Linked DNA regions of Lonchura striata. The protein of the gene in region 1 interacts with the protein of each later gene in a pairwise test. Links are inferred from orthologs where the notes say so. Each region holds a gene or a part of one and is shown in the gene's direction. Other genes may lie near its edges.

Region 1 (7,671 bases):
TTGATTCTGCTATCAAATATGTAATGAAACTTACTAAGGGATAAACCATTCTCCAAATAAAATTACAGCTGGCTGAACTGTATAGTTTGCACAAAAACTCTGTGTAGAGCCCCTAAAATGCTACAAGATAGTGTTGATTTCTAAAGCTATAGGATTTTAACACAGAACATATTAAATAGATTTAAAATTCAAACTAAATAAACCACTTTTTCAAAATGCTGCTTGCCATCCCCACTCCAGTTTATGTGTTCAGTTTTATTTGGGTTTTCCTCAGCTGCCTTTTTTTTTTTAGGGGGCTGGATGCACAGGGGCTATTGTTTGGGGATTCTTTTCCTCAAATGGTAAGTATTAATTCCTATATGTTGCTTCTTTTCTGTCCCTGAATTCATGTTGTTCACTACAGTAAAAGGTAGGTGGCATGATTTTTTACACGGATCTGTTAACTTTTACTTCAGCCTTCCAAAGCTGAGATAAATACGTGTAACTACTCAAACTGGTCATGTTACCTTGAGAAACATCAGTATGAGCAAAACATTGTGTTAGCATGCAGCTAACACAAATAGGTGCTGCTGCTTAGAGCCTGAAGACCAGGAACACTGCACTGGGGTCCTGCAACAGCATCCCTCATGTTGCCTTTTTGTTTTTAACCCATCCATCAAGTCTTCCTAAGAGACCTGAGAGTTTGAGTTGAAAAAGCCCTGGCAGTTTCTAACTATAGATGAGGGGCAGTGAAAGCACTTCAAAGAAGAGGGCTCCTTAAAATGAACAGCATTACTGGCATTGGGGAATTTGATCTTGGCTCAGTTTCAAACATGGCTATACAAGCCCTTGAGAAGAATCAAATTCAACTAGTGGGGTGATGGAGTGGCTCCTCCCTATTTTTCCAGAGAAGGCAACCACCTGTGCCAGACAGCAGTGGTGGTGTCTGTTGTCTATGTGCCCTCCCAGCTGTACGAAATCATGCTACTCAGAGCACTTCCAGTTCCTACACTTCCAGTTAAATCTCATTTAGGTAGCAGCTCAACTGTGCCATATACTCATATTTGCTGCATCTGAAGTTGGGCTCCTTTGATGTCCTTATTGGCAATTGAAACATAACTGAAACTAACTGAAAATTGATAGTGCCACCTACTATCATAGGATTAAATTGTTGATACCATCCAGGTCTAAAATGGACTAGGACAAAATAAGATTCCCTTTTTGCAGAATTGCTCATGGATAAGTGTTCTGTCACCTAGTTCAATGGGCCACAGTATGGGTTATTCTGAAATCTGGACACGAGCCATGACACCACAGGAAGTTTCATATCTGTTCAAGCGCAGCAACAGTGAAGCATTTTTCCCACAGTTTTATTGTCTAGGTGTGTGTGTTTACTCTTACGAGGTGAATGAGATGCAGTTCCAGTCAGACTAGTCATCTTAAGACACTCAGTGTGGGAATGTGGAATATCAGACTCTCCAGTAGTTTTCTAGCACATTCAATGACCCAGGAATCTATTCAGTGGTCAACTATGTGATTACAGAGTACATAAAATCAAATAAATGTGGAAGAGAGATAAAATAAAAGTTCAACCGTTAATGTTAATCCCTTTTCACTTACTGTGGAGTAGATAAGGATAGCACTGTAGAAGACAGAGGATTTATATTGCTGTAAAGATCAACATGAGAGAGTATGAAAACAAACAGCTCAGAGTTTATTGGGAAATAAAATGGATGACATAATTATTTGCCAGAGTGCTTCCTATAAATAGTAAGAAAGGTACAGTTTATGGTAAAATATCTGATCAATCAGCCAGAGGACTATTTCATTGTTACTTATCAGATCTGTGTGTAGATTTAAGACATCTGCTTCTCTTAACATGAGGAAATGATTGCTTGCCTACATCACAAACTTTTAGGTTACAGAAGTTTCAAAAGTTGAATGAAAAGCTGCCAACAAGCATTATTTAGAAAGACTGGAGTGTCTATCACAGCCTATTATGGCATGACAGCTTCTTCCAAAACACGTAGGTAATTTTAGTTCCACCATATGTCTACTAATTTGATAATGGATTAAACTTACAATTTGATCTTACAATAAGTAATCTGCTGCTGAGCTCCTGAACAACACATTCATTTTATTTAAGTCAAAAACCAAGTGGTTAACAATGATGAGGAATGAGCAGAAAAGAACAAGATTTTTTCAAAATACTTCAGAATTCATGGTATGTACTTGATGGGAAATCAACAATATTCTCAACAATGGGGAACAATAGATTTGAAGCTTGAATCATGTGTCATCTCCTTTCTGACAGTACTTCAAAATACCTCAAAAATGTTGAAATAGTATTTCAGATCCAGTTTTATTTATGCTGCAGCTCCTTATTTATGATGTTTTCTTGAGACCTGAGTGATCTGAGTAATGTAAAAATAATTAGATGGAACAGCTACTAACAATTATGAAATACCTGAACACTTAACTTTTTAAATATTTCTATTAACGATCTAGAAAGTATATGTTTGCAGCACTGTCCCTTCCAAACTGATTACTATTATGTCTTCTAGTCATGCCACCAAGATGTCTCTGCAAGAATTCCTATACATACCAAAATGGTCCAGTGAAATCATTTAAGGCAGACTAGTAATAGTGAAAAACTGTGTTTTGTTTCTATTTCATCACTAAGAACTACCTAAAATCAAGGGGTTTATCTCATTGCAGACAGTAGGGCTGGTCCCAAATAGGGGAAAAAAATAACATTGAGAAGTAACAAAAAAGTTCAACAGCCTTATATTGTACTAATTATATGTGCCTACTGGTTTGCATACTTACCTAACACAAAAATATGCCTAGGCTGCTCTGTGGTACAGTAAAATGACAAGTCATAGAAACTGTTAAGGTCGAGAGAGTGGGGGGAAGCCCCCCCCTCCCCCCCATACTTCTGTGTGTAAGCCCCAGCAAGCAGATTACAAATCCTGGGGCACAGATAGATTTAACAGCACAGCCTCAAAGGCAAGGCCACTTCTGGAACAGTTGTACACCCTGGTGATCCTCTTGACATCTAAACCAGCAAGAGTTTCTTTCAGGAAGGCTGAGGCAGCATTTGTTTCAATGCAGGCTCCCGCACACCCCCTTGCTTTTCCAGAGTATTCTGTGCCTGCTGTGACACTGAACTGTGGCACCAGCTGTGGCCTGGCTTGTCCCCTTGGCTTTCTTCTGGCAGCTCTCTGTGGTAGCCCCAATTAATGGGCCAGAGAAGAGGACTGAGACAACACCTGGTGACATCGATGAACAAACATGAGCCAGCAGTGCCGTTAGGTGGCCAAGAAGGCTGATGGCATCCTGGCCTGTGTCAGAGAAAGTGTGGCCAGCAGAATCCTGTACCTGGCACTGGTGAGGCTGTCAGGCTTGGGCCCCTCAATTCAGGAAGGACACTGAGGCGCTGGAGTGTGTCCAGAGAAGGGCAGCAAAGCTGGAAAGGATCTGGAGAACAGGTCCCATGAGGAACTGCCGAGGGAGCTGGGGCCGTGCAGCCCTCGGGAGGCTCAGAGGAGGGAGCTGGGGCCGTGCAGCCCTCGGGAGGCTCAGAGGAGGACGCTGGGGCCGTGCAGCCCTCGGGAGGCTCAGAGGAGGACGCTGGGGCCGTGCAGCCCTCGGGAGGCTCAGAGGAGGGAGCTGGGGCCGTGCAGCCCTCGGGAGGCTCAGAGGAGGGAGCTGGGGCCGTGCAGCCCTCGGGAGGCTCAGAGGAGGATGCTGGGGCCGTGCAGCCCTCGGGAGGCTCAGAGGAGGGAGCTGGGGCCGTGCAGCCCTCGGGAGGCTCAGAGGAGGGAGCTGGGGCCGTGCAGCCCTCGGGAGGCTCAGAGGGAGCTGGGGCCGTGCAGCCCGGGAGGCTCAGAGACTTTACCGCTCTCTACAACCATCAGGGAGGAGCGTGCAGCCAAGTGGGGGTCAGCCTTTTCGCCCAGGCAACAAGTGACAGGACAAAAAGAAGCGGCCTCAGGTTGCTCCAGAGGCGGTTTAGGTTGGACGTTAGGAAGTTTCTTCACAGAAAGGGTGAGTAGACATTGGAATGGAGTGCCCAGGGAGGTGGTAGAGTCACCCTCGCTGGCGGTGCTAAGGAAAGACTGGACGTAGCACTTAGGCTGGACTCGATGGCCACTGTTGTGTTCCACCCAGCGAGTCCCGTGACGCTGTGACTGTCACCCCCGCACCCGAACCCCCCGCGACCGCCCGGCGCGGGGGCTCGGACCCTCACGCTCCCCTCTCTCGCGAGAGCAGCGCGGAAGCCTCGCGAGAGCGGCCCGCGGCCCCGCCTCGCCGGGCAGGCCAGGCGCTCGCTGCGGCTTTTCCTTTTTTCCCGCCGCTGGCGCGAGGAGCCGGCGGGAGCCAACCAGGTAACGGCGCGCGCTCTCCTCATCCCGCGCCGGGGAGAGACCGCGAGCGCCGCCCCCGCCCCGCCCCGCCCCGGGACGGCCCCGCCGCGGCCCCTCCGGCCCCGGTCCCCGCCGGGGGCTCCTCAGGCGCTGCCCGCCTGCCCGAGGGAGCCCCGTTCTCTCCGTCTGGCAGGCTCCCGCCGCTCGGGAGAAGCGGCGTGTGGGACATGCCATACCGCTCCTCCGGCGTCCCGGCTGCGGGGTGTGACCCGAGCCTGGCGGGAAGCTCCCAGGTGTTGGTCATGGCAGGATTTCCCAGAGCATCCCGGCGTGTCTCTCGAGTGAGTTTTCTGTGCGGTGTTCGTGCAAGAGGGGAAAGAGAACGAAGCCCACCGCCGGGAAGTGCAGGAGAGTTGCGTTTGTAGGAGCAGCCGGTGGGGACCACGGCGCCGTGTGCTCCCCGGAGTCCCGGAGGGGCGGTGCGTCCCCGGCCGAAAGGCATCAACGCCGATAAGCAGCCTCGGCGCGTTCATCCGTGCTGACGGACTCCCGCAGGCAATCGTTGATGAAGCCCTGGAAAGCCTGACCGTGCCGGCGGGAGTTGATTTGTGGAAGCAGAGGGAAATGGACGCGTTTAGGTGGTTCTGTGAAAGCGGCAGTCGGCAGGATAGCAGCAAAGCAGGACATCCGGGAGAGGGGCTGGCGCTGTGCTTCCACCCCAAGCAGCTTCCAGTTCTGTCCCTGCCTGCAAGTGTCCGTACATCCAGCCCTGCTGTTTTTTCCCCTAAGGACTGGAAAGCAGTTTCTTGGGGCTGGAGACTAAGCCATCATTTTTACACTTGTGCAGCTGCCCAGGCCTGTCAAAGGCTCGACTTGAGCGCTTCTTGCGAGCCCGGTGTTTTAAGAGATGTTGAACACCTGTAGGGAGCAATGTATCATTTTGGTATCTTGAAGCTTGGGAAAATGCTTTGCTCATTTTTTACTATTTGTAGTCGGTTGATGTCCGAATAATTTGCAGAAACTCTGAGCGGGTTTTGTGCATTTTTTTTATTGCAGTCATCTTAGGGAAAAAAATCCAAAAAAACCACTACAGACACCATTTACTGTCTAGACTCAGGTGACTTTTTCATGGAAATGAGTCATCTGACATACTTAAATCTCAAACAGTAAGTGAAACAAGCATGTGGTTTTCACTGCCCTAGTGCTTGACAGAAAAAAAGCTTGATCCTGAAACATCTGTTGAAGGTGCAAAGCAAGAGTTTAAATGCCATTCCTAATGTCACTAGGCAGTTGGTTCCACAAAGAAGTGTTGTAAGATGGTTTAATGTGGCTGCACACAAAGTGGAGCATTTCAGCTGCAAAGATGCAAGCAAATCACTGTCCAGCTTATGTTGAAAACGTGTAAGCATTGCTAATTTCAAAGGGTAATTTTATTTTCTACTAAGGAGTTCTCTGAACATTTGCTAACATGAAGCCATATCCTGAATTTGCTAAGGACAGAGCAGGTTAAAGCAAATGTGGAGCTGCTGGCTGCATTATTGTAAGATTTAAATATCCTTATACTATAGAAAACATACAGTTCAAGTGTTTCTGTTGAGAATATTGTTTTGTTCCATTGTAAAGACAGCCAGACTGAACAAAAGTTACTTAAAAGCGTGCACAGAGGAGTGAGACAGGAGAGTGGAACTGAAGCCTCCAGGCCCTACACTTGATCACTGACCAGTGGACTGAACAATTTATTGTGGTGAATCTGGGAGACCAGCTAAACCAGTAGCTGCATTTAGATACTCTTAAGTTGTTTAAAGGCTTTCAAGATGGGAAACGCAGCTTCTTGACTAGTCACAGACCATGTATCATCTGAACTTGTACCTCAAAAATTTTAGAGCAAATTGTTCCTTCCATTTGGCAGTATAGGCATGATGGTTTGCTTGCTCAAGTTGCTAATTTAGGAATAGTATGAAATACCTAGCTTTTTTTTTTTTCTTACTGCATTTTATATTACAATATCATAGAGATAGATATGTCCACCTGGTAATGAACAGTCCCTGTTCAGAAGTGTTTGTTTAAAATTGACTGCATAAAAATGAGGAATATCCATTTTCACACAGAGGGAACTGAAGGACAGAGATTACAGAAGTATTACAATATTGGACACCAGTAGTGTCCAGTAGAATTGAGTATTGGACACCAGTAGTGTCAGTAGAATTGAATCTTGCCTTGGCTCAGAACCAGATCTGAGTACCGTGCTTCCTCTGTAGTTGGCCTGAGGGCATCATCCCTGTAAAAAACCCTTCAAAACAACTGAGAATTATGGGTAAGATTATCCTAAATTTTGTAGGCAGTCACGCTTCTAAGAGCTATATGACTTTGATTGTTCTTCTCAAATATTGTTTTGGAGATTTATAGATTTTTGTGATTACTCTCCATTTTTTTTTTCATCAGGGAATTGGAATAATTTTAATATAGAATTATGAACACTTCAAGGGGATGTGAGTTTTTCTTTGCAAAAGGATGTAATTTGAATTTGAATCCAAATTTATGTAAACGATGTATATAGACAAATCCATCTCTGATAAAACTTTTGACAAATGCTTTTGCTGACAGCCAGATTTTGGCACTATGGCTTACTTTTGGAAAACAGGAATTCGGTATAATTCTATCTTTATATAAGAAAAAAATAAAGACTCTTAAGTGGTTTAATCTAATTTTAGGTTGATAACTTTTTAAGGGGAAGAAAATTCTGTTAGTTTGTAATTATCTGCGGCAAAATACTTAGCAGTGTCCAAGCTTTCAGGGTGGTTGTCAGTGTGAAAGTATATAAATATGTATCCTCAACAAGGATAGACAGTAAACTTTGTATTTCATCCATGGCTACAAGTGGTGCTCTGATAAATTCAAATGTGTTATCATTCTGTTGTTACAGACATACGCCCCTCTTCAGAAACAGTTTCATAACTATGTAATTTAAAATATAAAATTTGAGAGAGAGCCAGTTCTGTAAGTTAAAGAAGCTGGGAGCAGAATAAAGCAAGATGAATGCATCTGGAGGAAGCTGTGGGAGCCCTAGTTCTGCAGAACCTACAGGAGATTTCTTCAAAGAACTGTGGTCCAAACTGAAAGAATGTCACGATAAAGAAGTACAAGGTAAGTCACTGAAGGTTGGGTTTGTCAGGCTAAAGTTGGTGTTTGTCAGTTACCACAGGAAAACTTTGAACCAAAATACTCTCCATGGAGCTAAATAGATTTTTAATGTTTTCAGTTGTGCAGAAAATTAGACCTGATGATTACAAATGATCCTTAGAGATTGACTACCTGAGCTTGG
Region 2 (7,460 bases), on another chromosome or scaffold:
GGTTACATGGATAAGGAACAGGGTCTAAAGTGGAATTTATTTAATTAGTCAGCATGCTCTATACCTTGTTCTTCCTTAGCAGACATGTATGCTACGTCTCTGGGTGTTTAGGCTTCTCTTTGCTACTTTGTGACCCTTTTGCAACCCGATATACTCTGTGGATTATTTAGACTGTAAGGCGTTAAGTGGCTGCTTCTTCTTTTCCATCATATCCCAAACAAATGCCAAATTTTGACTGGTTTTCATGGCTATTCACACACATACATCCTTCACAAAATGTGCTAACAAAATAAACTGTCTGTGCTCTTGAACATGGATAAAAAGAAAAATATTTAAAAGTCAGATTTTTATTTTTTTAATTCAGTGACTAGAGGATGCTTATCTTTCAGACTTGGGAGAGCCTTGCTACAGATGTATATAATTTTTTTCAGCAAATATATGTGAATGTTTAATTCACCTGACTCAGTGATAAACGTGACTTGCCTTTTTCTCAGCATGATCCCATTGAGAAGCTGTTGAAAGCAGCTGCCTGGTCACTGCTCTAGGCTGCTCCTGGTGCCCTGTGTGTTACTCTGCTGCTGGCTGCGAGGGGGCGAAGCTGCAGCTCCCACTGCGCCCTGGGTGAACTCGCCAGCCTGAGGGAACTCATGTTCCACGTGGGTTGCAAGATGCCAGGAGCAGCCCAAGCTCCAGGGACAGTTTAAGCACAGAGGATGTACCAGGGCTCTCTGCTGACATGCTTTTTCCGCAAGGGTGGGCAAAAGTCCAGAGGCCTCCACAGTTGTCTCACACACCCCCACCCTCCAAGCAGTTACACCCCTTGGCATGTGCACAGCCCCTCACAGCAGGTGGGGTACTGGGGGTGCTGGGCTCCTCTCCCTGTGCTTCCTGTACCTCCAAGTTCTGTGAAATGCTTGTCCTAAATCTCTGTGTAAGGATCTCAGGCTTTAGCAAAGCAGACATTCGTCAGTGTTTCGTCAGAATGATATGTAGGACCAGCTCTATTCTTCCAAGATCCAGGAAAAAAGACACAGAGTAAAAGCAGTGCTTTTACTGCTCCACCTGCTCTGTGTAAGCACCTTGTCCTGGTATTTTGTTGCTCCTTTGGGGAGGAAGAATAGAAAAGTACCCCACAGAAAAGACTGGCAAAATGGTATCATGAGCTATGAATTTCCAGTTCCAGAATCTCTCTTTAAAATCTGGCTCCACACACTGCATCCTTGTGCTCGGCATCCATAATGCAGGATATTTGCTGGCAGAGGCTACAGCAGGAGGGCCCTGGAGGAGCATGTGCTGGCTTTGAGCTGTCACATCAGTGGTGGCTGGTCTCTGTCTCTTCAGACAAGGTGTGCTTCCTGCTTGCAGCACTGAGTGGATGTGGTGGAGGATGGGCACTGTGGGCACAGCTTGCTCCCTATTGTGTTTTACAGGATACAAGTGCCGCTTCCTGGAGAGAGTAAAACAGGCACAGCTGCACATCCCTGCTGTCCTTGCCTGGTTTTTATCTGACAGAAGTCTCATCACACATTTAGACAGGATCTCTAATTCCCTTTATAGTCACAAAAAAGGGGGGAAGAATTTTCCTCAGTACTGAGCCATGGTTGGAGGAACTTTACCTACCCTGGGTGCAGATGTACCCACTCTGGGCTCTTGACAGTTACAAGAAAGGATTTGGGGTTGGAAATCTTGGTCAGCAGTGAGCAGAAGGCAATTTCTCTAATGACATCTGGTTTGCATTTAAATTTGAGCTTTTCAGTGCAGTTTTGTTCCTCACCTCTTCAAGGAGCTACTTCAGCCCCAGAGCTCTGGAGCACAGGCTGAGTCACGAGATCAAATGTGAGGAATCTCCTCACATTTTACAACCTCAAAGAAGTTTCCAGGGACTAGGCTACAGGTGAAGCCCCCAGATGCTTCACGCCCCGTGTGGCAGTGCCCAGCTGCCCATAGCACCCATGCTCGGCCATGGGCACCAGACAGCAGGCAGTGCTGCCAGGAAAGAGTGCTGCCAGTGCTGCAGAGCAGCATCTCTGGGAAAGCAGAGGGAGGAGAAATCCAGCTTCTCTCTCAATCCCCTTCCCGTCAATCTGCACAGTGTGCCTTGTACGTTTGGACAGCAGGCCTAGGAACATCATCCTCACTCTCCCACATGGCTTTTGGGGATGCTCGTTGTTTCATGGTGCTCCCAGGGGTGCCTGGAGGCCTTTGGTGCAGTGCCATAGGTGGCACTAATTTCTGAAGAATCAAGATTTCACCTCAAGAGGTATAAAACAATGCAAGATCTTCAGCCCAAGCAGAAGATGTCTCATTCCCCAAGTGGCCTTGTTCTCCCTCCAGTGGGATTTTTATTAATGAACAACTCCATACAGCACGACTACCTGGCTCCATTTGCCAGTGGTCTGGATGAGATGTGACATTACTGGTTTAACTTGGAACTCAGTCCCAGCCTGCCTGAATACATCGGTTCAGGCAAGCCCAGCATTAGCCTTCAGGTTTCAAGAAATACTGTCCTGAACCTGTTGCAGGAGCAACTGGGAGGAGTGAGAGCCATGGCAGATGCTCCAGCCTCTCCTCTCTTTGGGCTCCTGCCAAGCCTTGGTTGTCAAGTTTCTCAGCTGGCTGTGCTATAGCACAGGGAGACATTGTACAGGAATTGCCTGTATTCTTTGGAAAAACAAAACTTTAAGAGAAAACCTCACAGTGTCTTTTTTCCCCTTCAGAAAAGGACAGAGATTTCTGATAGAGGAAAAGATGCACAAAAACCAGAGCTTGGCTCACCTAGAGGAAGACACATCTCTGGTCCAGAAGGAATAAACAAACCTGTGGGACCCAAAGTCTCAATACCACAAATGAAACAGATTTCCTGTCTGCTTATGACAAGCAGTTTTCCATGCTCTTATGGCCAGTATTTTCCAGATAGATTTGTATGTTGGATTAAGGCTGGGTTTTATGGAATGTTGGATTAAGGCTGGTTTTTATGTTTTGGAAAGCACAAAACTGATTAGATTCTCTGTGAGGAACCAGCCTCACCAGCCCGCGGATCCCACGAACTGATCCCTGCACTTTGCAGAAGAGCATTTTCAAGAACCAACCCCAGGATCTCTGAGTGGGGTCGGAGGTCGGGGCAGGGCAGGGGCTGCCGAGTGAGCGGGTGCGGCGGGGCCGGATCCTGAACATCCTCTGAGCATCCTCGCATCGCCGCAGGTACCGGGGCGGGGGATCCGCCGCACCCGCTCCGGGCGTGCTCCGCGTGTTCTCCGTCCCACGCCTTCCCAGCAGAAGGGAGGTGGTTCAGGTATCCTCCAGTGACAGGCGGGTTCAGAGCCCTGTTCCCTATCGAACCAGCGCTGCGGACGCTGCGTGACTCTTCCAGAGCCCCTTCCAGAGGTGCGGGAGCCGCTTTCCTGCCCACGAGGGCGGGCGGTGTCTCCATGGCCACGGCTTCCGATAGACACGAGCGCTCCCAAGGGGGCTCCGTCCGTCGGCGCCGGTTCCAGTGGAACAGGGACCTGGAAACGCTCTGAGCGCCCGCTGCGACCGGGATCGGGCCGGGGCCGCGCCACGGGTGCCGGGGAGCGCGGCCGCGGCACACGCGTGGAGCGGCTCCCCGGCGCTGCGGGGCGCGGAGGCCGCCGAGAAGATGCCGCAGCCACGCGTGTGCCAGGGCGCTGGGGCCCGAGGAAAAGCCGCTCCTGCCGCGGCCTCCCGGAGCCCTGCGCGGGAACGGGCCGCGAGCACCCGCCAGCACCGAGCGTCCGCCTGCAGACGGTGACACCGGGTGACCCCGGGTGACAGACACCGGGTGACACCGGGTGACACCGGGCGACAGACACCGGGCGACAGACACCGGGTGACAGACACCGGGTGACCCCGGGCGACAGACACCGGGTGACAGACACCGGGTGACAGACACCGGGCGACAGACACCGGGTAACACCGGGTGACACCGGGCGACAGACACCGGGCGACAGACACCGGGTAACAGACACCGGGTGACACCGGGTAACAGACACCGGGTGACAGACACCGGGTGACACCGGGCGACAGACACCGGGTGACAGACACCGGGCGACAGACACCGGGTGACAGACACCGGGTGACAGACACCGGGTGACCCCGGCCGGCCGCGACCGCCGCCCCCGCCGGTGCCCGCGGCCCCGCCCCCGCGGCGGAAGCGGCCCCGCCCTTCCGGCGGTTTTGGCGCGCGCTCCGCCGCCATGTCCCGCCCGGCGGCCGCCGATCCCGGCGCTGCCGTGGAGCGGCTCTGCCGGGAGCTCAACCTGGACGCGGCGAGCGCGGCCGAGGCGCTGCGCGACTTCACGGCGCTGCGGGGCACCTACAGCCTGGAGGTGAGCGGGGCCGGGTGGGGCCGGCCGGGCGGACGCGGTCCCGCTCCGGCCGAGCCTGAGGGGCGCGGCGCTGCCCCGGTGACCGCGGCGCTGCCCCGGTGACCGCGGCGCCCGTGCCCGCAGGGCGAAGCGCTGCACTGGTTGGCCTGCGCGCTGTACGTCGCCTGCCGGCGGAGCCGCGTGCCCACGGTGGGGAGCAGCCCGATGGAGGGGAACGGCGTCTCCCTGACCCGCATCCTGCGCTCCGCACGCCTCAGGTGAGCGCCCCGCCTGCCGGGCCGGGCCCGGCTGGGGCCGAGCACTCGGCGCCGGGAGTGCCCTGCCCTGCCCTGCCCTGCCCTGCCAGAGCCGCTAGTCCGGGAGCCTCGCCTGCGCTCCCAGCGCTGCCAGCCACGGCGAGGTTAAAGCAGTAAGTCCGCTTTTGTTACAGATGGAAATTAGATTGAAATGCGTAATTTCCAACTTCAAGCCTTTAGGAAACCACCTATGTCGAACCAGCAGCCGTTCTACACACGCCAGTTGTTTCTCTCCGTAGTTAATTTTACCACAAACATTTAGGCGCGTGCCATCCCGGTACAACGTGTGCCTGACTCAGGATTCAGGCCAAATCTCGATGGAGTGCTGGCAGACGCTGGTTTTTCTGGGAACACAGCACAGGTGATCACAGAACTCACCTTCCGCACGGCCCCAGCAGCAGCTGCCCTGTCACTGGCGTTCTGAACTGGGCACATGGAGCCCGGAATGTTGCTCATTCCATTTAAAGACCCCACTCTCTGCTGAGCTGCTGGAGGAGTTGTCAGTTATTTACATCCCCAGCTGTCAGGTTTTTGTGCAGGTAACTTTGACGGGCATTGACTCTTGGCTTGTTCTGTTCCCTCTCCTACCTCTGCCTCAACACTCACAGAGCTGTGCCTGCATTTTGCTGTTCACCACTGCCCTGCTCCACACAGCCACGCTGACAGCCTCCACATCGAGTTAACGTTCCCGTGCGTTAAAGAAGGTCAAGGAGAAACCCCAGAGTGATAAAAGGCAAAAAGCTGATAACACGCAGTTTGGAAGTCTTATCAAAATAAATTGTAAACCTACATAGTAATTATGTCAGTTTTTAAAGGAGCAAATATGTTGCACTTTGATTTTTTAAAATTTTAGAATGGAAGTTAGTTAAAGCTGAAAACAGACTTTTCTTCTTTCTTTTAAGTTTAATTCAGTTTTTTAGCAAAATGAAGAAGTGGATGGACATGTCAAACCTGCCCCAGGAATTCCGAGAGCGAGTTGAGAGGCTGGAGAGAAATTTTGAAGTGTCAACTGTGATTTTCAAAAAGTTTGAACCAATATTTTTTGATATATTTCAAAACCCTTATGAAGAAAGTTCCAAACCACATCGAAGCAGGAAGCAGAGGTATTTTTTAGATTTGATGTGATTTTTCCCTGGAAAGAGTTATACCCAATATAAGTTTACGAAAATTAATTTCCAGAGTGATGGGGTCTCTTTGACTTTGAAATGCAGCCAGCGCAGAACCACCCCTGAGCCCGGTGGGTGCAGCTCAGGTCAGCTGCATATGCAGCTGCTGTAACACAGGAGCTGTCCCACAGTGAGAGTGTCAGGGTGTGGTGGGGAGAGGTACCCTGAGGTAGGTTAGCTCCAAGGTGCAGTGAGATCAACACTTCAAACATTTAGCAGCAATAGCTGAAGTAGCACAGCAGTGTTCTGTCTTGGCACAGTGCTGGCAGGAGGTTGGTGTGACACCATGATCCGTCTGCTCGAGGGCTGTCACATTCTGTGACCTCCATGCTGCCAGGTGTTTGCCGTGGTTGCCAGATGAGTGGAAACACCAAATGGGGGGAAGTTACAGCTGATGTGCTCATTTCTTTGAGAAATTTGGGAACATGTGGTGTCATCTTCAATGCACACATGGAATGTCTGCCTTACGGAAAGGAGCTTGTCCATACTCCCTGCAAGAATATCTGGCTGGGACAGCTTTGTAGTGAGATTATAACCTTCGTGATGAGGGAGCCAAGCTGTGGATCTGCAAGGTGTTTTTATCAGTTCATGTGGGTTCTCTGGATGTGAGGGGGGATCATTGTTCTGGTGCAGTGCTCCAGTGTAGCTCCACATCCACAGGCAGAGTGCAGGGGGAGGTGCTCTGATGGCTGCTTTGTTGGTGTTCCTTTCTCAGAGCAGTGTTGGTTGGTGCCACCACAGCTTTGGCTGCTCTGTGGGTTGAGTCATGTCTTCCTTGGTCTTCCAGCTCCATGGGCTTGGATAGTTCTGCTCCAAACAGGAGTCAGCAGCTGAGTTGTAGTACAAGCTACAATTGCCTGTTCCAAAGGAATGGCTAATGGAAAAGCCATCACTGGAAAATACATATAGCCTTTGTCACCTCCCCACCCATAGGAGGGTTCTGTGGGAGGTACAACACCAGCAGAATAGTGTGGCAGGGTCAGAAGCCAGAAGCAGCCTTTGGCTTGGGAACAGGGTTAAGAAGTTGTGGGTGTGTGCAGGACACTCTGTGGAGCAAGGTCAGGCATTGTCAGGCAGTGAGAACTGAACTTGGGACATGTAGCTTAGACTATGCCTTAGTGTGGAATTGTGACAGCAGCTCCAGCTGTTGTTTTAAGCAGGGAAATGGAATGAAATTTGAACTGTAGAACAAGGTTTGGCTTCCTGGAACTGAAGAGTAACTTCTCCCCCTATTTCTCTTGTTGACAGACGGGTGCCGTGCAGCGTCAAAGATCTCTTCAACTTCTGCTGGACTCTCTTTGTGTACACTAAGGGTAAGCTGCTTGCTTTGCCTGCATGGTTTGTACACGTTCCCAGCTGTGACCTTCTGTTGTGTTGCTTGACATGATGTACTGTCTCTTAAAGGTAATTTCCGTATGATTGGAGATGATTTAGTAAATTCGTATCATTTACTTCTGTGCTGCTTGGACCTGATTTTTGCCAATGCCCTTCTGTGTCCAAACAGAAGAGATTTGCTAAATCCGTCATTTAAAGGTAGGGTGGGGATAGATTATTTACAATCAACTGTGCTTTGTTCTCTTGGCTCATTTGAAATGAAGTTGAAGGTTGGTTGTCTTCCCCCTTCCTCCTGGTTCCCAGGCTTACCAGTGGAA
Region 3 (8,149 bases), on another chromosome or scaffold:
TTTACAGAACTTCTGAACTGACTGAGACTTCAGGTGACCTTGGTTACACCATTTGTGGTCCAAGAATAGGCAAGTGTTAAGAGAAAATAGATACAGGTACTAGTGAAAGTCATGGAAAAAGCTTTACAAAGGGATAAATTTAAAAATAAAAAACAAAAACTGTATATTTTGATATAGTTCTGTTGCTTGCTTGTACAGTAAAACAACTGTGTTGTTTTTTATCAAGAACTTTACCAATGAAATATAAGTTTCTATGTGCAAAATAACTAGCCCCATGATTAGAAGCAGTATTAGATGTAATTACACAACTATACAAGTACCATTTGGATTGTGCTGGTTACGTATTTTCCCAGATAGTATTCTGATTTTTGGCCCTTCATGCAGTGTCTTAGCAATAGTGAAAATCAAAAACTGCCAAGAGAAGGGGGTAGCCAATTCTTCATCATTAAAAGGAAAAGTATTTCATATTTAATATCTTGCCCTTTGTGTAATATAGCACTTTTATTTAACTAGGATGCATCTATGAAATAGCCAAAGTTTTACAAGCAGTTATTAACTTCATTTGCTGATGGAGTATGTCGACAACACCATCACTTCCCACCCTTCCCCCACAAAACAAGTCCTAAATCTTGTGGCTAAAACCTAATTTATATCAGATTTATGAAATAAAGTATTTTCCTATTATGGTCAAGTAAGTTTGGTTACTGTTCTAGTGATTCTTTCTATGTAATAAGGCAATTACAGTTTCAAGTAATGAAAGCTGGTGTAGACTTGAACATAATTATATTTGGGTTATTTTTCATCAGTTTGATCCAGAGGGGGGAAAAAAGTGTCCCACTATCAGCTAAACTATATGCAAATACGGTTGTATAAAGTTAAGGGTTATAAGGAAACCTCAGTAGAATTACACTAATACTGGAGTTAAAATTAAAAGGATATCCAAGGTGATGATAAAGTGTGTGTTGGTAGTTACTAAAAAAACCTTAGCTGTTATTGCCTTGTATTTCTATCCCTTGTTTCAGGCTTCATGATCCAAGTCTTAGTCCAGGTTTTTTTTGGACATTTGCAATATTTGCCAGTTGTGTTCTGTGTAGTCTGAATTTGCTTTCTGTAGTTGAACAAGCGTCTTAAAAAGTCATTTGTAATTTATTGAATTACTTTCTATGATGTTCTATAGAGCAAATGGAAGTTTAATTATTTTTTATTAAACATATTCTTTGACTACCCGTGATGTCAGCCTCCGTATGTGAAAGTAATGCTGTGAAAGGATTAAACATGGATCTTCCAGCAGCAAAACTCAAGTTTCAGTGCTAAGTTTTAAAACTGAAATTATTCTTAAGACCTTAAAAAAAACCCTGCAAACAAGCCAAGGACATAACACACCTACTGCCCAAGACCATGGTTTACTCTTGTATATTTTTCCTGGGAATCAATTGCCCCTAATTTTCTTATCTTACAATCAAACCAGCTGTTACTCCCACTCTTCAGTACTTATGGTTAGAAAAGAATGTTCAGTCTAGGTTCTGGTCCAAAAGTTACCTTAATTTTAAATAAGCATGTTGGCAGTGAAGTAAGTACCTTTTCAGTCTTTTTTTTTCAGAAAAAAACTTTGCATTACTTTCCACATTTTCATTAAAGCTTTTAATTATGTACACAGCACTTAACTATTGCATGTATTTCACACAGGGCACAGACATTGCTCCTGAACCCAAGGTGTCTCCTGCCACCTGGCATTGCATTAGAATGATTCAATCGTATCCTTATTTATTTCAGTCTGAATTTTATCTTCATATCCTGATCATCTTTTTCGAGCTTCTGCAGATGTGTACACAGGTGTTAGAAGTTGACATATACATGAGCTCCGTTCTCAACTTCTCTTTTTTCCATGGAAGTCATGCAAAATCTCCAATAGTATTTTTTAAAATTAGTTTTAGAATCCAGTCCTCTTGGTCTGTAAATTAAAATATAAAGATCTGTTTTTCAATGGAAATATGGAAATATGTTTTCAATTGAAGTATTCCCAAGATGCTCTAGGCACTATAGTAGTGGTTAGTTTCTGGCACTCCTTTGAAATTTTTCCAAGCAGTATGTGGGGTATGATTAGATAAGACTCTTAACAAGGTGTCCAGGGAAAAGTCCTGTCCTGTATGTTTTATTCTGTGTCCAACAAAATTATTTGTGCCATGTTATCTAGTAATAAATTTTTCATGGATTGCTCAGTGTGACCATTCATTAAAATGAAGGTTTGAGGAAGGTCTAATGCAAGTTGTAGCAAGATGAAATGTGCCTGGTGTTCAGGGTTAATATAAAGGGGGCTGCACAATAGTGTTACATTAACTTATTTGTGATTTGCAAGTTACTAACAGTTTTATAGGCAGTTTCTGATTTAGTTTTATTACACATAGAATTACCTTCCACATGAGCAAGGCTGTTTCAGTGCAATGTGGGATTTACACTGCTGTAGTTGACCAACATTTAAAATTTTATATCTCTGTGTTGTTGGGACCTTGGGCTGGTGGTGTTGTCTGTAGAGCAGACTAATTGTACTGTGTAGCCACAGTTTACAAAATAACTGTCCTGGCTTATCTGAATGTCCCTAATGTTACACAAACAGGCAGTATAATTTCTTTGTTAACATTTAGAGGAAAAGGAAATAAAGATAACAGCTTTCCAAGTTCTTTTTATGATGTTTTTTTATTGAATGCTGCCTCCTTTCAGGTTCTTTCATGCAAGGAAGGAAGGAAGGTGTAGTGCCCAAGATCCTTCATGAAGTTAAACTGGAAAATGAGGACTTGTTTGCTCTGCCTCCTGTGTGTTTCCAGTATGAAGGAGACCTGACAGTGCACTGGTGTTCCAGGTAAGGTCTCCTGAATTAAAGGAAGGCTGGTTTGGGAAATTCTTGGGATCCTAATAACAAATACAGTGTCATCATCTAGAGAGATGAGAGCATTTTCCTTAGTGTTCACCAAAACTGGTAACAGTCCTCACACTGTTTTCTGCTCTCAGACGACAAAAGCATTTGATTTGGGGACTACCATGTCAGGTCCTGTCCTTGACAGTGTTTGAGCTGCGTGCAGCAGCTCAAAGCAGGGAGCAAGACATGTTCATGGGGAAGATTTCTGAGTCTACAGCACAGTAAAAAATGTATGCTGCCAAGGGGTAGCCAAGCAGCTGTGACGGACTCGCGCTGAGAGGGTGTTTGTGGCTGTTACTTGTCATACTGGTAGGTCTAACATCTAGCAATAGTCAAAATCATTAAAATAATTAACATGCCATATGAGGGTAACTTTATTATTCATGCATCCTTTTAATGGGGGAGGAGCGGGAGGGAAAGAAGGGAGAAGTGGAGAAATAAGTGATGCTAAGTCCTCAGGGATAAAAAAGTATGTTTCTTGTCTGAGTTTTCAGTACACCATTAAATAAAAACTTCAAAAAAAAAAGTTTTCTACACAAGAGCAGTCAAACCATTTATTTATGAAGTCTGAATGCATGAAACCATAGGGAAGTACACAGGTGTAATCACTGCATAATAAACTTCACTTTGATCCTTTAACCTTTTAACTCTTTAGGTATTTCAATATTGTGAGGGTTTGTTCCTCCTTTTTTTATATGAAGGATTTTTAAAGAGTAGATGAATTATTTCTCAGTAGAAATTAAATGCTGTAATAAGTTATTGTTGCTTTGTATTTTAGTAGATACTGTAAATATAGCTAAACAGAAAAGCCTTACATAATTTATATAGTCTTATGGGTGGCAGAGAGCTTCCCATCAATGCTGTGCATAACTCAGAGCAGGAACTTGGCCTGATGGCAAAGTTCATAGCTCCTCTGTGTTAAAACAAAAAGTAAGATGAAATACAATCTAATCACTCCTTTTTAAAGTTGTAAGTTGTTCTGGTAGTCTAGGGGCTGCAGGTTTGGGGGGAACCCTGCTGGCATCACCATCTTCCAGTGCCAGCTTGGGCTTTCTGCAGTTCTCATTGCTGGGTACCAGTGTGTATTTGTGTCCTGAATCACATCTCAGGTCAGTCAAATATTCTTAACATTTCTTTTTTTTTTTTTTTTCCCTGAAGCTTTCAACGTTCGTGAAATACCAGTAATACAAAATCAAGCCAACAGTCAATAAATGTCTTTTAATCAAGTGCAGCCTGTTTTACTGGTCACTTCATTGACACGTACCTGCTTTAGGAGTTTAACCTTACTTTTGGCAGCCTCCTTTCTGCTCGGCTGGCACCTGACCAGGGGAGCTATTTCTGTCTTTCCTCCCCCTCACTGCCTGTGTACAGCCTGTACCTCGCTCTGTGTGAGCGTACAGCCTGTACCGTGTTCGTATTTGTGTGTGTATTGTGTACAGCCCGTACCCCGCACTCTGTGTACGTATTTGTGTATATATTTGTGTACAGCCCGTACCCCGCACTCTGTGTACATATTTGTGTGTCTGTCTGTGTGCAGCCCGTACCCCGCACTGTGTGCACATATTCGTGTATATTCGTGCGTGTGTTTGTGTCTATTCGTGTACAGCCGCAGCCGGCCCGGCCGCTCTCCGCCCGTTCCGGGCTCCCCTCACGGCCCCGGCCCCGCCCCGCCCGGGGCTCGCGCGCCGGGCGCGCTCCCGATCCGCGCCGCGCGCGCGTCTCGCGGTGCGTGCTAGGAGCGCGCGCCGTGCGCCTGCGCGCGGGCGGGGCGGGCTGTTGCCCCGCGGGCCAATGAGCGGGCGCGGCGCGCGGCGGGGGCGGGGCCCGTCCCCCGGTGTTTGGATTCGAACGCGCGGGGCGGCGGCGCAGGCGCGGAGCTGCCCCCCAGCGGCGGGGCGCGGCATGGCGGGCGAGGAGGCGGCCGGGGCCGAGCCGGGTCCCGCGGGGGCCGCGGCCGCCGCCCCGTCCCCGCCGGGCGAGGACGGCGAGACCCGGCAGCGCTACGAGGAGCTCTGCAGGAACCTCAACATGGACGAGCGCGCCCGCGCCGAGGCCTGGCTGAGCTACCAGAGCATGAGGCGCAACTACACCCTGGAGGTGAGGGAGGGGTGGCGGGGCCGGGGGGAGCGCGGCGGGACGCGCGGGGGAGGTGCGGAGGGGAGGGACGGCGGCGGGGGCGCGGCGGCCTCTCCCTCGCACCGCCCGGGCGGCCGGGAGTGACCATCGCCACTGGGAGTCATAGCGGCGGAAAGGTGTTAAAAATGGAAGAGCCCCCGCCACTGCGGTCCCTCGGCTCTCCGCAGCTCGGCCGGGCAGCGGCGCGGCGGCCTCGGCCGGCGCGGGGCCCGCGGGGATGCCAGCGCAGGTGCGATCACATTTGTCACTTATTTCTGGGGGCTTGCGCGGCCGCGGCACGGCCCGGGCCGGGCGGGTGGAGGGTGGAAGGTGAAGGGTTGGTCGCGTCGTTCTGGAAAACAGGAACACGCGGTGACGCGCCCGGGAGCTTTTATCGGTGCCTTCCCACAGCAAAGGTGGCGCCTGTGATAACCGCGCTGCCCCGCGCTGCCCCCGCGCTTCCCCCGCGCTTCCCCCGCGCTGCCCCGCGCTGCCCCCGCGCTTCCCCGCGCTGCCCCCGCGCTTCCCCGCGCTGCCCCGCGCTGGCCCGCGCTGCCCCCGCGCTGCCCCGCGCTTCCCCCGCGCTTCCCCCGCGCTGCCCCGCGCTGCCCCGCGCTGCCCCCGCGCTTCCCCGCGCTGTCCCGCGCTGTCCCGCGCTTTCCCCGCGCTTCCCCCGCGCTTCCCCCGCGCTTCCCCCGCGCTGCCCCGCGCTTCCCCCGCGCTTCCCCCGCGCTTCCCCCGCGCTTCCCCCGCGCTGCCCCCGCGCTGCCCCGCGCTGTCCCCGCGCTGCTCCGCGCTGCCCCGCGCTGCCCCGCGCTGCCCCCGCGCTGCCCCCGCGGCTCTCGGGCAGAGCTCCGCGCCGGGCTCGGGGCTGCGGGAGGAGGAGCGGCTCCGGCCGCGCCGCTGTCCCGTCGCGGGCGGGCGGCGGTGCTCGGGATCGAGCCTTGCCTCGCACACCCCCAGGTGGGCGCTCAGCCGGGCCCCTGGCACCGCGGAGCCCGACAGAACCAACAACCGCAGCATCGAATTCCGTTTGGCCCCTTCTTTCTTCCCGTTCCTTTTTCCACTGAGGTGTTACTCATTGCTCAAAGACGAAGAATAAAATTTCAAGTGCTCATTAGAAATAACTTCTTTCTTTGGGTACCGGATTGAATAATTGTTCTGCTGTTTAATACAGAGCGAAATGGAAGCAATGTTTTTCTTTTCCTGCTGTCTCTTCAGGGCAGAAGGATGTTTTGGTTGCAAGAACTATAGTAGTTTCTCTTTTTCTCTTTTTTTTTTTTTTTTCTTTTTCTTTTAAATCCAAGCAGTACAAAATGCTGTAGATGAACACTAAAAATATATTTTCATATACTGAAAATATATTGGATATTTTGAGTCAAATGTAAATGTTATAATGGCAACTAGTAGTTTTGATGCAGTTCAGTGTTCAGTGTCTATTTAGCACCTGTTTTGTTGCAGTTAAAAACCCAAAGCGCAACAGAAGTTTGAAACAGCAAATCTACTTTCTCACTGGTTGAACTTCATCTGTTTGGGACAGTGCTTTTCCCTGCTGCTGGGGTAGCTGAAAAAGCATGTTTTTGTTTTCAGTGCAGTTTTTTAGATGCCTGATGTTTTGATTCACAGGGAAATGACATGCATTGGCTGGCTTGTGCCTTGTATGTGGCTTGCAGGAAAGCAATTCCAACTGTGAGCAGGGGAACAGCGGAAGGAAATTATGTGTCCTTAACCAGAATCCTGCGCTGTTCAGACCAAAGGTAACTTTTATTCTTGCTGATTTTTAGACACTTAAAAAATCACAAAGAGTGCTTATCACCTTGTGAAATTGGAAATCGAGAATAAAAGCTAAATGTGTTTCTTGTTTCCTGTTTTTGAAGTCTGTGTAGAGTCTATATCCCCAGAATGTTTGTGTTATAGCCCACTGCCAAAGAAGTAGGGCAGTACTATGTTCATGAAAACGCTGGTTTTCAAAATGAGAGATTTACTTCCTTCACTCAAAGGAGCAAGAAGCCAGACACTGAAAAACCATGAATTTTGGGAGTGTGCAAATTGTGAACTTTTCACATGAGAAACCATTTGTAGTTCATTGTGAAAATGTTCACAAGCTTTATCTCTGTTTTTGCATAAGACTTCACTTTTCACATGGTTTTGGTAAAATCATTAAATGAGGTCAGAATCTGACAAACAATTTTGTGTCAGATGCTTATGTCTATAAAGTAATAAATAAAAGCTTCTGAAATAATTGACTTTATTAGAAATCTCGTTGTTTTCTAAAAATTCCATAGATTCTCACAAAAAAAAGAATGTTCTTACGTACTTCTTAGCCGGTTTCCTCTACTGTTGAAGCATTGCTGTTGATTAAACAATGCAAAAGCTTTCCTCTATAAGCTTTTATTTTCCAAATCAGAAATTCAGGGAACTGAATGTTGATAAATTGGTTCCGTGATCTGGACTATCAAGACTAATAACACTGATAAAGAAGATGAAGATAAAGAAGCTGTAAAGGAATTAAAGCCAAATTTGCAAAGTGCAATTTTCTAAAACTTAAGAGGTTTCTCATACTTTGTAGAATATTCTTAGCATTGTAGATCTCATAGGTTGATTTATTTAAATTAATAAATTATTCAGAAAAACAAGGCAAATCTGATTTCAAATTAATCTAACTGTTGGAATTGATTTTGGCTTTGTGAGAAGATGCCAGACCTGTGAGTACATAGTTAATGGGGTTATCAGCCAAGGATCTAAAAATATTTCACGAGCTGTCTGAGCTCATCCATGTTTATGGGTGAAGGACTGGCTCCGAGTTCATTGTCATGTTTGCAGAGCCACCATTTCATCAGTAGTTCGGGCAGTAAAAATTGCACTTTTGTTGAAAATGTAGGGTTTAATTCTGCATGAAAAACTAATGGCCCATTCGGTATTTGCAGCTTGATTGAGTTTTTTAACAAGATGAAGAAGTGGGAAGACATGGCAAATCTACCATCCCAGTTCAGAGAGCGAACTGAGAGATTAGAGAGGAACTTCACTGTTTCTGCAGTCATTTTTAAGAAGTATGAGCCCATTTTCCAGGACATTTTCAGGTATCCTCAAGAAGATCAACCTCGTCAACAGAGAGGAAGG
Region 4 (8,213 bases), on another chromosome or scaffold:
TGAACTGAATATTTGTGCAAGGAAGCCATTACCCTAAAGAGAAATACGTTACTGCATTTTAGAATCATAGAATCATTTAGGCTGTAACAACCTCTTAATATCAAGTCTAACTAATAACCCATTACTGCCAGGTCTACCTCTAAACTATGTCCCCAAGTGCCACATCTACATGTCTTTTAAATAGTTTCAGGGTTGTTGACTCTGCTCCACTTCTCTGGGCAGTCTGTTCCAAATGCTTGACGCCCCTTTGCATGAAACAAAAAAAAATAATGTCCAATCTGAACTTCCCTTGAAGCAACTTGAGGTTGTTTCTTCTTGTCCTGTCACTTTTTCAGAGCTTGGTGGACTTGATTTTCTCTTTTCAGGCTTGAAAAGATGGTTCTTTTCACAGCGACTGTCTCAGGAACATTTGATGTGCAGCCCCTAGAATTAAGTGGCTGACCTTTTTTATTATTCTTAAATTAGAAATGAGGATGTAAGTGTTATATGAAATGCATCAGTGCAAATGTATCCTTAAAATTTATAGAGTTGGAGGAATTTGGATACCATAATGAAATAGACTTGCAGTTGACTACTCAGGTGCAGATTTCAAGAATAGCCAATAATGTGCTGTGTCACATGCAACACAAAATTATTGGAGTTCATGAGCTTCTCATATATGGTACTGTTTGTTTTATTTTTCCTGTCTGCACAGGATTGAAGGAAACAGTAGTGTGGGAGGACGAGATGAATGTTTTAAAGAGTATCAAATATCTGTACACAGAAGTTATTACTTGGTTTATGCTTCATTTGGTAATAGATGTAACCAGCAGGAAGAAAACACAATACTTTGCTGAAATATTACTTACAACAGGAAAATGCTGTAGTTGCATATTGCTCTTCCTTTATATAAATTCTGTCAGAGACTGATATTTCACTGTGCCTGAATGACTGATAAACATTGTGTGGGAAGCTGCTGCTTACCTGTCTATTCCAGTTATATTTACTTCCTTATGGAGAGATGGAATGTGAACCTTCTCTGTTTATGGAGACCAAAGCATTTTTTGGACATGTTTATACTAGAATAAATTTATACTGGAGGATATGAAACAACTAGAATTGCCTTTTTGTTTGCCCTGTTTAAACTCCCACCACATAAGCTTAATTATGTATTTTGAGGTGAAGACTAAAGAATGAAACTTTCAGGAACACTCAGAATTCACATGATTTTTACTGCAGTGTTTTCAAGATGGTTTTCCATAATTTTTAATAGAAGAAGTAGTTGGAGCAGTGCTGAGCACATGTGAAAATCCAACCTGTAAAAATGTGCATTTTAATTATATAAAATATTAATTACTTTTTTCAAACTGCCTTAGGAGACCAGAAAGTATTTTATTGCTTAAGAGATAAACAATTGCAGCAACCAGAACCCAAGAGTGTTTTTAATTTCAATAAGAAACCCTCACAAAAGGTCAACTAGTGCTTTGAAATGTTGGTGCAGAAATCAGAGCAGGGCACTGCAAGCCCACGCGTCTTTTGCAGCCAAACTTCTTTTCTAGGTTGTTCTGTATTTTGCGTGTGAGAGTCACTGCACAGCATCTGTTACTGCATCATTGGAATGAACCCACTCGTGCCTGCGGGGGAGGAGGTGGGATGCACTGTGCTTGTTCATCCCCCGCCTGTCCCCGCGGGTGTTTCCTCCCGCAGCTGTATGTCCCGGTGGCACAAACAGGTTGCCAGGCAGCAGCTGCCTTTGCCAAGCACCTTGTTTGGAGCCGTGGCTGCTCCGCACACGGCTATTTGTGGCACGGAGTGAAATGCTCAGCGGGCTTGGCTGGCCACCGAGCCGTCACTGTAAGAGTCCCTGTCTGCCCCTGGCAGCCGCCGGCATGGGCAGCCAGGCTGGAAAGCTGTGCAGCGAAAGCAGCGTGGAGTGAGGCGGCAGTCATCCTTCAGCAGGGATTAGGCAGTGCGCCTATTTTTGCTATTGTTTACCAAAGCCCTTCTGGTAACCGCAGTGGAACACTTCTCCCTCCCTCTTCTACCATTTCCTTCAGCACCTTCCCTACCATCAGTTTTGGCTTCTGATAAGATCTTCAGTGTGCCAAGAGGAGATTGTCTTTTTCTTTCATACCTGTCTTTTCTAGTTAAACGCCCAACTTCTTCTCCCTAGCACTGCATCTTTAACAATAGGCTGCTTGCTGTGTTTTGTCCCATATCCCAGGGAATGCCCTTGGGAAGCTGCTGCTGCAAAACAACCCCTTACATACTTCTCACTCTCCATGGACAGCTTCACCTCAGAGTAACCTAGAATTCCCTCATGAAAATGAAGTGTATTTTTAACAATGTATTTCAGATCTGGGCAGCATGCCTCCTATAAAATGTCAGAAAAGAGAAGGATGGCCAGCTGCTCTGGATTATCAGACCTTCACAGTAGAAGCTGTGTTTTGCTTCAGTAGCATAAAGGCCCTTTTAAAACTCTTGTTAAGCTCCTTCTTGTTTATTAGAAAAAATTTGGAGTCATTCCTCCAGCAGCAATGGTAATATGACTGGAGAACCAGACAACTTCTACTTACTGCACATATGGAGTCCTGTTACTTTGAAGGACTTGCTCCTGACAAAAACTAGGAAGATAAAACCAGGCTTTTTGGATGGACATCTTACTGCACTAACTTGCTGTACTACTTGCTTTGCTACAGCCATGCAGAAGACTGCACAGTAGCAAGGTGAAGGAGCAATCAAATGTTTTCTTGTTGACCAAAGAGAATATGAGGCAGCAGAAGTTGTTTCCAACCACATTGGTCACCTGTGGATTTCAGATTACTGCAAAACTGTAGTAGTCCACCAGGAAAAAGTCTCTATGGGGCACTTTTGATTTACAGCAGCATCTTCCCAGGAGAATTGTCTGTGATCTGGGACAAAATACAGGAAAAGAGTTGGGAAATTGTTGAGAAGATAGTGATAAGAGGAAGAGGTAGGCTCACTTGCTGTTTATTATCTTAGTGGCTTCATTTATCTTTACTAATCCTGAATAAATCAGCATTTTTAGTCCACTGTAGTCAGTCTCACTGAAGTTTTTTATGCCCACAGAAGCTCAGCACTGACCTGTGCAAAAAGTGTTGGGAAGCAAGATGAAGAAGAACTGGCATCACTATACCTGCATGTCTGTTGGCAGTCTGCACATTTTCATCACTCATGCTTCAGAGAATGCAGAAACCTTTTCTTCCAGGACTGCAGTGGTGCTCTGGCAAGATCTTTTTGGCCTTGGGCTAGAACCTGAGCATTGCTTCATCTGCAGTGTGCCCTATGACAGATAAAAATAGGACTTGAGCTGCAGCCAGGCTGTGTCAGTGGTGAGGGTGCAGCTTCCTTAGCCTGTTAGAGCTTGACTTCTGGTAGCTCTGGCATAGGGTGAATAATCACACCTACAGACAGGCAGATCAGCAGGGTCATGCTGCCTGGGTCCCACCTACGCAAGGAAATAGCTTGCCTAGGGGGTTGTTGCTCCTTGTTGAGGGGAAGTGAAGGGAAGACACTGACCAAACCCATTCCACAAATTTGTCAGCAGAAGCAGCAGCGTGGGACTGTGTTGGCTGAGCTGTAGGAAGGTGGCTGCATGCAAGCTCAGGCCTGCATGGAGAGTGGCGTGTGGGCTGCTGTACGCTTGCTGAGCAAGCTGTCTTAGGTGGTGGTGAGAGATATGGCCAAAAAACATCACCAACCAGACCCTCTGTGGTAGGTCCTAGGGAAGGTGCAGGTATATTAAGAAATTGTAGCCTTGACTGGACATTCTGTCATATCCTGTGACAGTATAAGCGGAAATGGCCTCAGGTTGTACCAGGGAAGGTTTAGATTGGAGATCAGGACAGATTTCTTCATGGAAATGTTGTCAAACACTGGAACAGACTGCCCAGGGAAGTATTAGCATCACCATCACTGGTAGTATTTAAAAGATGTGTAGATGTGGCACCTGGGGACATGATTTAGTGGTGAATGTAGCAGTATTAGTTTAATGGTTATACTCAGTGGTCTTGAGGTCTTTTCCAATCTAAATTATTCTATTACTCTCTGATCTTAGTTCTAGTTTCTCTATTTGTTCCTGGTACTCATCTCCTTCTTGTCATCCTCTGCTTCCTCATGCCCCCTCACAGACTAGCAGATTCTTCAGCTGCCAGTGTGCTGTGTGTCATGAGCACAAAGTGCATGCAGTTCTGCAGTTCAACTGGTTGCTAACAAGGCTGAGACAGTTCAACACAAAAGTTAGTTACTCAGGGGGGCTTCCCAAAAGCCTTCCTTTTCTGCAGTTATAAAGTGCTGGAAGCCCACAGGCACTGTGCCACAAACACTGCGCTTCAAAGAGGGAGAGCTTGTAAGAGTCTAATTATTAGCTGTAAATCTTACTTTAGTTAGTGTTCTTACATTGGATAGTTGTTCTAAATGCAGCACATCACTGGAAATAAAGCTTTGGTTTTCCTCCTTCATGTATTGTCCATTATGGCATGCCTGTCAGTTTTGTTAATGGCCTGAGAAACAGAACAGAAATCAAACAATCTGCTTGTACCTTCCCCTTGTCTGAAGTACTGAGAAGAGGAAAGACATACATAGATAAATTCAACACATATGACTTAAAAGACACAAGTGGAGCATTAAATGTCATTTTTACAATGTAATTAACACACTATAGCATTAAAGCAATATTTACCTGGAGACAGGAGTCTTCTGATCCTGCTTTCCACTGTTGGTTTGCCCATGATAAAATATTGTTGGACTCTGCCTTCACGCCCCCACAGCATAAAGAAGCTGCAGCCAAGTTTGGTGATAAACTTATTTGCACATAGGTTACTCACACCACAGCTCTCCTGGGCAGCTTCTGTCAGCAGCCAGCAGCGAAGACCCTTTCCAGCATCCGAGTTTACATGAGGGCCTGGTGAGGGGAGTGTTCTCTGTGCACAGCCAGCCTGCGTAAATCTCAGCGTGACAGGCTCCCAGCCCTGCTGCTGAACTTTTAACTTGAAGCTCTAGCAGGGTGCTGAGTAGCTCCAGCTACATGACAGGAGCTGTGAAAGTAAATCACTTCGCTGGGAACAAGGGGAAGTCCAGCATATTGTTTTGCGGACTTTGCCTACAGTTTGTTTGCAGTCTAAGCATAGAATATATACACCTGGGAAAGCAATCAGAGCGAGATGGACTTCCAACGCAGAGCTCAGCCCTTCCCCATCCCAGAGGATGAAGAGGTTGCCTACAAGGTCACTCCTGATGCTCACAACTCCGCAGGAAATGAAGGCGAGAAACCGGTGTCAAAATTGCAACGTAGGCACAGTGAAATAAAACTCTACAAAGAGTTTTGTGATTTTTATGCAAGATTGTAAGTTTGTTCTGTTCAGCTTCGGGGTGTAACTGCAGTGACATTACTGGTGTATTGTACATAATATATTTTATTATCTGGGGCTCAGGCTGTGCAAGCTGTTCTCTCATTCAACCTTTGCCACTGTTCTGCTTGAAACATTGCCAGTTGTAACAACTAAAATTTGAATTGTTGCTTTAAATTTCATCATGAATTGCATCAGGAATTTTTATCAGCAGTAAAAATGGTGTTGGAATTTTTAAAGTAGTCTCTCTGCCTTCAGGTTGTTTGCCAGTTATTCTGGGCAAATGGATAAACCGCTTCATTAATGCAGAAGTATTACATACTTCACTAGTTTTACATATGTGATGTGTTTCAAAGTTAAGCACTTTTTCCTGAAGAGGGAAACTGTTTTTACTTGGTTTTGAACTTTGTTTCATGTTTTTGCTTGGATTGTACTTTACGTACATCAGTGCTTAGAATCCTTAATGCTCAAGCACTGTTGAAGTGATGATGAAAGATCCCAGTTTCTCTTGTGATTATTCTTCATTTAGATTGATAAGGAAGATGGGAAAATTGACTGAGGTTTTGCCCCACAGAAAGCATACACAGTCAATGAAGACCATTGATGACCTTTACAGTTGATCACAGTTTATATGTATAGTCACTGCAGTTTGTCCATAGGTCTGTCTGTTATTAGGGGTTAGACCATCCTGTGTCTGATCTTCATGTGAAATTTGCCCACTCATTTCACTGTGAGGACAGTGGATATTTGGATTGCAGTTACCGTTTTCCTCATCTGCAAAGATCAAGTGAGAGAGAAAAAAAAGTGCTAGCTAATAATAACATGTCAAATGTGACCTTGTGTAGGGCTCTTCTGTGAGACAGTGTAAGAAATAGATAAAACACATTCCATTTTGAACCACGTGCTAGGTGTTTGCTTGCTCCCTTGGATAGTGTGCAAGGAATGAATTCAATTCCTATTGAACATGGTGGGAGCCCAAAGGTCTTATCCCCTTGAAGAGATAAGAAGGAAGGCTTGGCATCTTACAGAGGACTGTGGGCTCTGCACTTACAGGCACAGCATGATAACTTATCAAAATGCGTGCCTGCATGCATATGTGTTTCAAATAATGTCACTTGTCTAATAACCTTCCAGATAAATATTGAGTCATTAGTTTTCTCAGCTGACATCCCATTTTAATGAAACTAGACCATTGCCCTATATTTACTTTCTGTTACCACATGGTATTAAGGATGATCCTGAAAGGCAGAGTTTTGAGAGCCTAGATATGAGTGATGGAATGTTTGCAAAGGGAAAACCAAAAGAGCCTTTTGCTGGCTTTAATTAACTGAAAATCAGCTATACTGTCTTCTGCAGATGTGGACAGCTACCACACTGCCTTTTTTTTGGTCCTGTGCCTTTGAGAAGCAACCAAGGTTGCTGTTTCAATATTTCTTTGCATCCCTGGCATGGGTCGCAGTGGGGCAGCCAGAGCATTCCCACCCTCTCCTCCCCCCTAGCCTTGGAGTGGGCTATGAGCTGGCACATGATCAGCCGAGCTCCCTGAGATAAACCCTAACAAAGCAATCAAAAATCCCATGATTTCAAACTAAATTTGTAAAATGACTTCAAGCTATGCAGAGCTCATATAAAGGATAATTATTTAACTACTCTGTTTTTCATTAATATCTGCCAGACTAGATCCTGCACACTCTTTCACATTGTTTATTTAGAGCTCTGAACCAATGCCATTATATATGTATAGTTTAGAAGTTATATATGTATGTATTAGAATTGGTTTACAATAAATAATTTATGTTTTACTGTGTGATGCCAGTCCTTAATCATTAATATTTGCCCTTGTTTTCAGTCATTTTAATGTATATCATAATTCTTATAGTACTTTGAATTGCCTTTTTTCATCATAGAAAGCCTGTAAATGTGTCTGAAGAGACAAGGTTTCTGTTTGGGGTTTTCAATTAATTAGAGCATATCACAGGGATTTTGTTTCTATCTAAAGAGTTAGGGAGCAGGGAGATGCCGCAAGCTATGAAGTTCATGGAAAAACTTGTGCTGAGCAGCTTATCATTAGGTTGGTGCAGTTTGGCCTGGTAGAGCAGGGGAAAGACTGATGACCAGTGTTGTTGTCTACTTAGGCTAATTTTCTTTCTTTTTTTTTTTTTTTTGAATGACAGCAACATGGCGAACGCGCTTGCAAACGCCATCTGTGAGCGCTGCAGGGGGGGCTTTGCCCCTGCCGAGAAAATTGTGAACAGCAATGGTGAGCTGTACCACGAGCAGTGCTTCGTCTGCGCCCAGTGCTTTCAGCAGTTCCCCGAAGGGCTCTTCTATGAGGTAAGTGGGGCAGAGACCCCTGCTGTCCCCATACCCCCTCTTGAGCCTTCATTCCCATAGCAGAAGTAGCTACAGGCAGGTGGATAGCTTAGAAAGTCCCATGAGAGTATCTGGGCTCTAACAGAGTATGCCCAGTAAAGGGAGAAAAAAACCAGAAGCATTTCTGTGCTAATTTGGAGGACATCCATGTATATAACATTCTTTAAGTGTGGACCTTAATATTACCAGCACTGAGAGAAAAAATCCTGGAGATTCTTTTCTCAGTGCAAATTTTCTCCCTGAAACTTGTGAATCTGATGTATCATACCAGAAATATATAAGAAACATACTTCTTAGAGGAGAAAGTCATATAGAAGGAAATCTCAGCATCCTGTGGTCCACAGGAGGTTTATCACTGAGTTGAGTGAGTCCAGTTTGGCGTTGGAAAAGAGATGTTCTGTATGTGAGCATGCAGTGATCCAAACCAGACAGAGCCAGTATAAGATAAACTCTTAAGTTTAACAGTCTAGAGCATTCGAAATTATCAGTTCT

Evidence for each region.
Region 2: the proteins of RBBP8 (region 1) and RBL1 interact in a two-hybrid assay, tested with the Homo sapiens proteins (2 studies listed by BioGRID and IntAct). The link is inferred for Lonchura striata from reciprocal best matches to the Homo sapiens genes RBBP8 and RBL1.
Region 3: the proteins of RBBP8 (region 1) and RBL2 interact in binary tests that used the Homo sapiens proteins (3 or more experiments, as listed by UniProt). The link is inferred for Lonchura striata from reciprocal best matches to the Homo sapiens genes RBBP8 and RBL2.
Region 4: the proteins of RBBP8 (region 1) and LIMS1 interact in a two-hybrid assay, tested with the Homo sapiens proteins (2 studies listed by BioGRID and IntAct). The two-hybrid records come from large-scale screens. The link is inferred for Lonchura striata from reciprocal best matches to the Homo sapiens genes RBBP8 and LIMS1.

Annotation. Positions count from the first base shown.
Region 1 is NC_134603.1:47,356,807-47,364,477, reverse strand, and holds the start of RBBP8 (DNA endonuclease RBBP8), read left to right. Parts: upstream 1-4,279; 5' UTR 4,280-4,370; intron 4,371-7,272; 5' UTR 7,273-7,381; coding exon 7,382-7,493; intron 7,494-7,671. UniProt on the Homo sapiens protein: Endonuclease that cooperates with the MRE11-RAD50-NBN (MRN) complex in DNA-end resection, the first step of double-strand break (DSB) repair through the homologous recombination (HR) pathway.
Region 2 is NC_134619.1:14,349,812-14,357,271, reverse strand, and holds the start of RBL1 (retinoblastoma-like protein 1), read left to right. Parts: upstream 1-4,193; 5' UTR 4,194-4,214; coding exon 4,215-4,346; intron 4,347-4,469; coding exon 4,470-4,603; intron 4,604-5,544; coding exon 5,545-5,745; intron 5,746-7,056; coding exon 7,057-7,121; intron 7,122-7,212; coding exon 7,213-7,341; intron 7,342-7,446; coding exon 7,447-7,460. UniProt on the Homo sapiens protein: Key regulator of entry into cell division. Directly involved in heterochromatin formation by maintaining overall chromatin structure and, in particular, that of constitutive heterochromatin by stabilizing histone methylation.
Region 3 is NC_134615.1:12,861,586-12,869,734, forward strand, and holds the start of RBL2 (retinoblastoma-like protein 2), read left to right. Parts: upstream 1-4,816; coding exon 4,817-5,011; intron 5,012-6,655; coding exon 6,656-6,786; intron 6,787-7,956; coding exon 7,957-8,149. UniProt on the Homo sapiens protein: Key regulator of entry into cell division. Directly involved in heterochromatin formation by maintaining overall chromatin structure and, in particular, that of constitutive heterochromatin by stabilizing histone methylation.
Region 4 is NC_134604.1:90,285,409-90,293,621, forward strand, and holds the start of LIMS1 (LIM and senescent cell antigen-like-containing domain protein 1), read left to right. Parts: upstream 1-4,871; 5' UTR 4,872-5,162; coding exon 5,163-5,344; intron 5,345-7,522; coding exon 7,523-7,682; intron 7,683-8,213. UniProt on the Homo sapiens protein: Within the IPP (ILK-PINCH-PARVIN) complex, binds to F-actin, promoting F-actin bundling, a process required to generate force for actin cytoskeleton reorganization and subsequent dynamic cell adhesion events such as cell spreading and migration.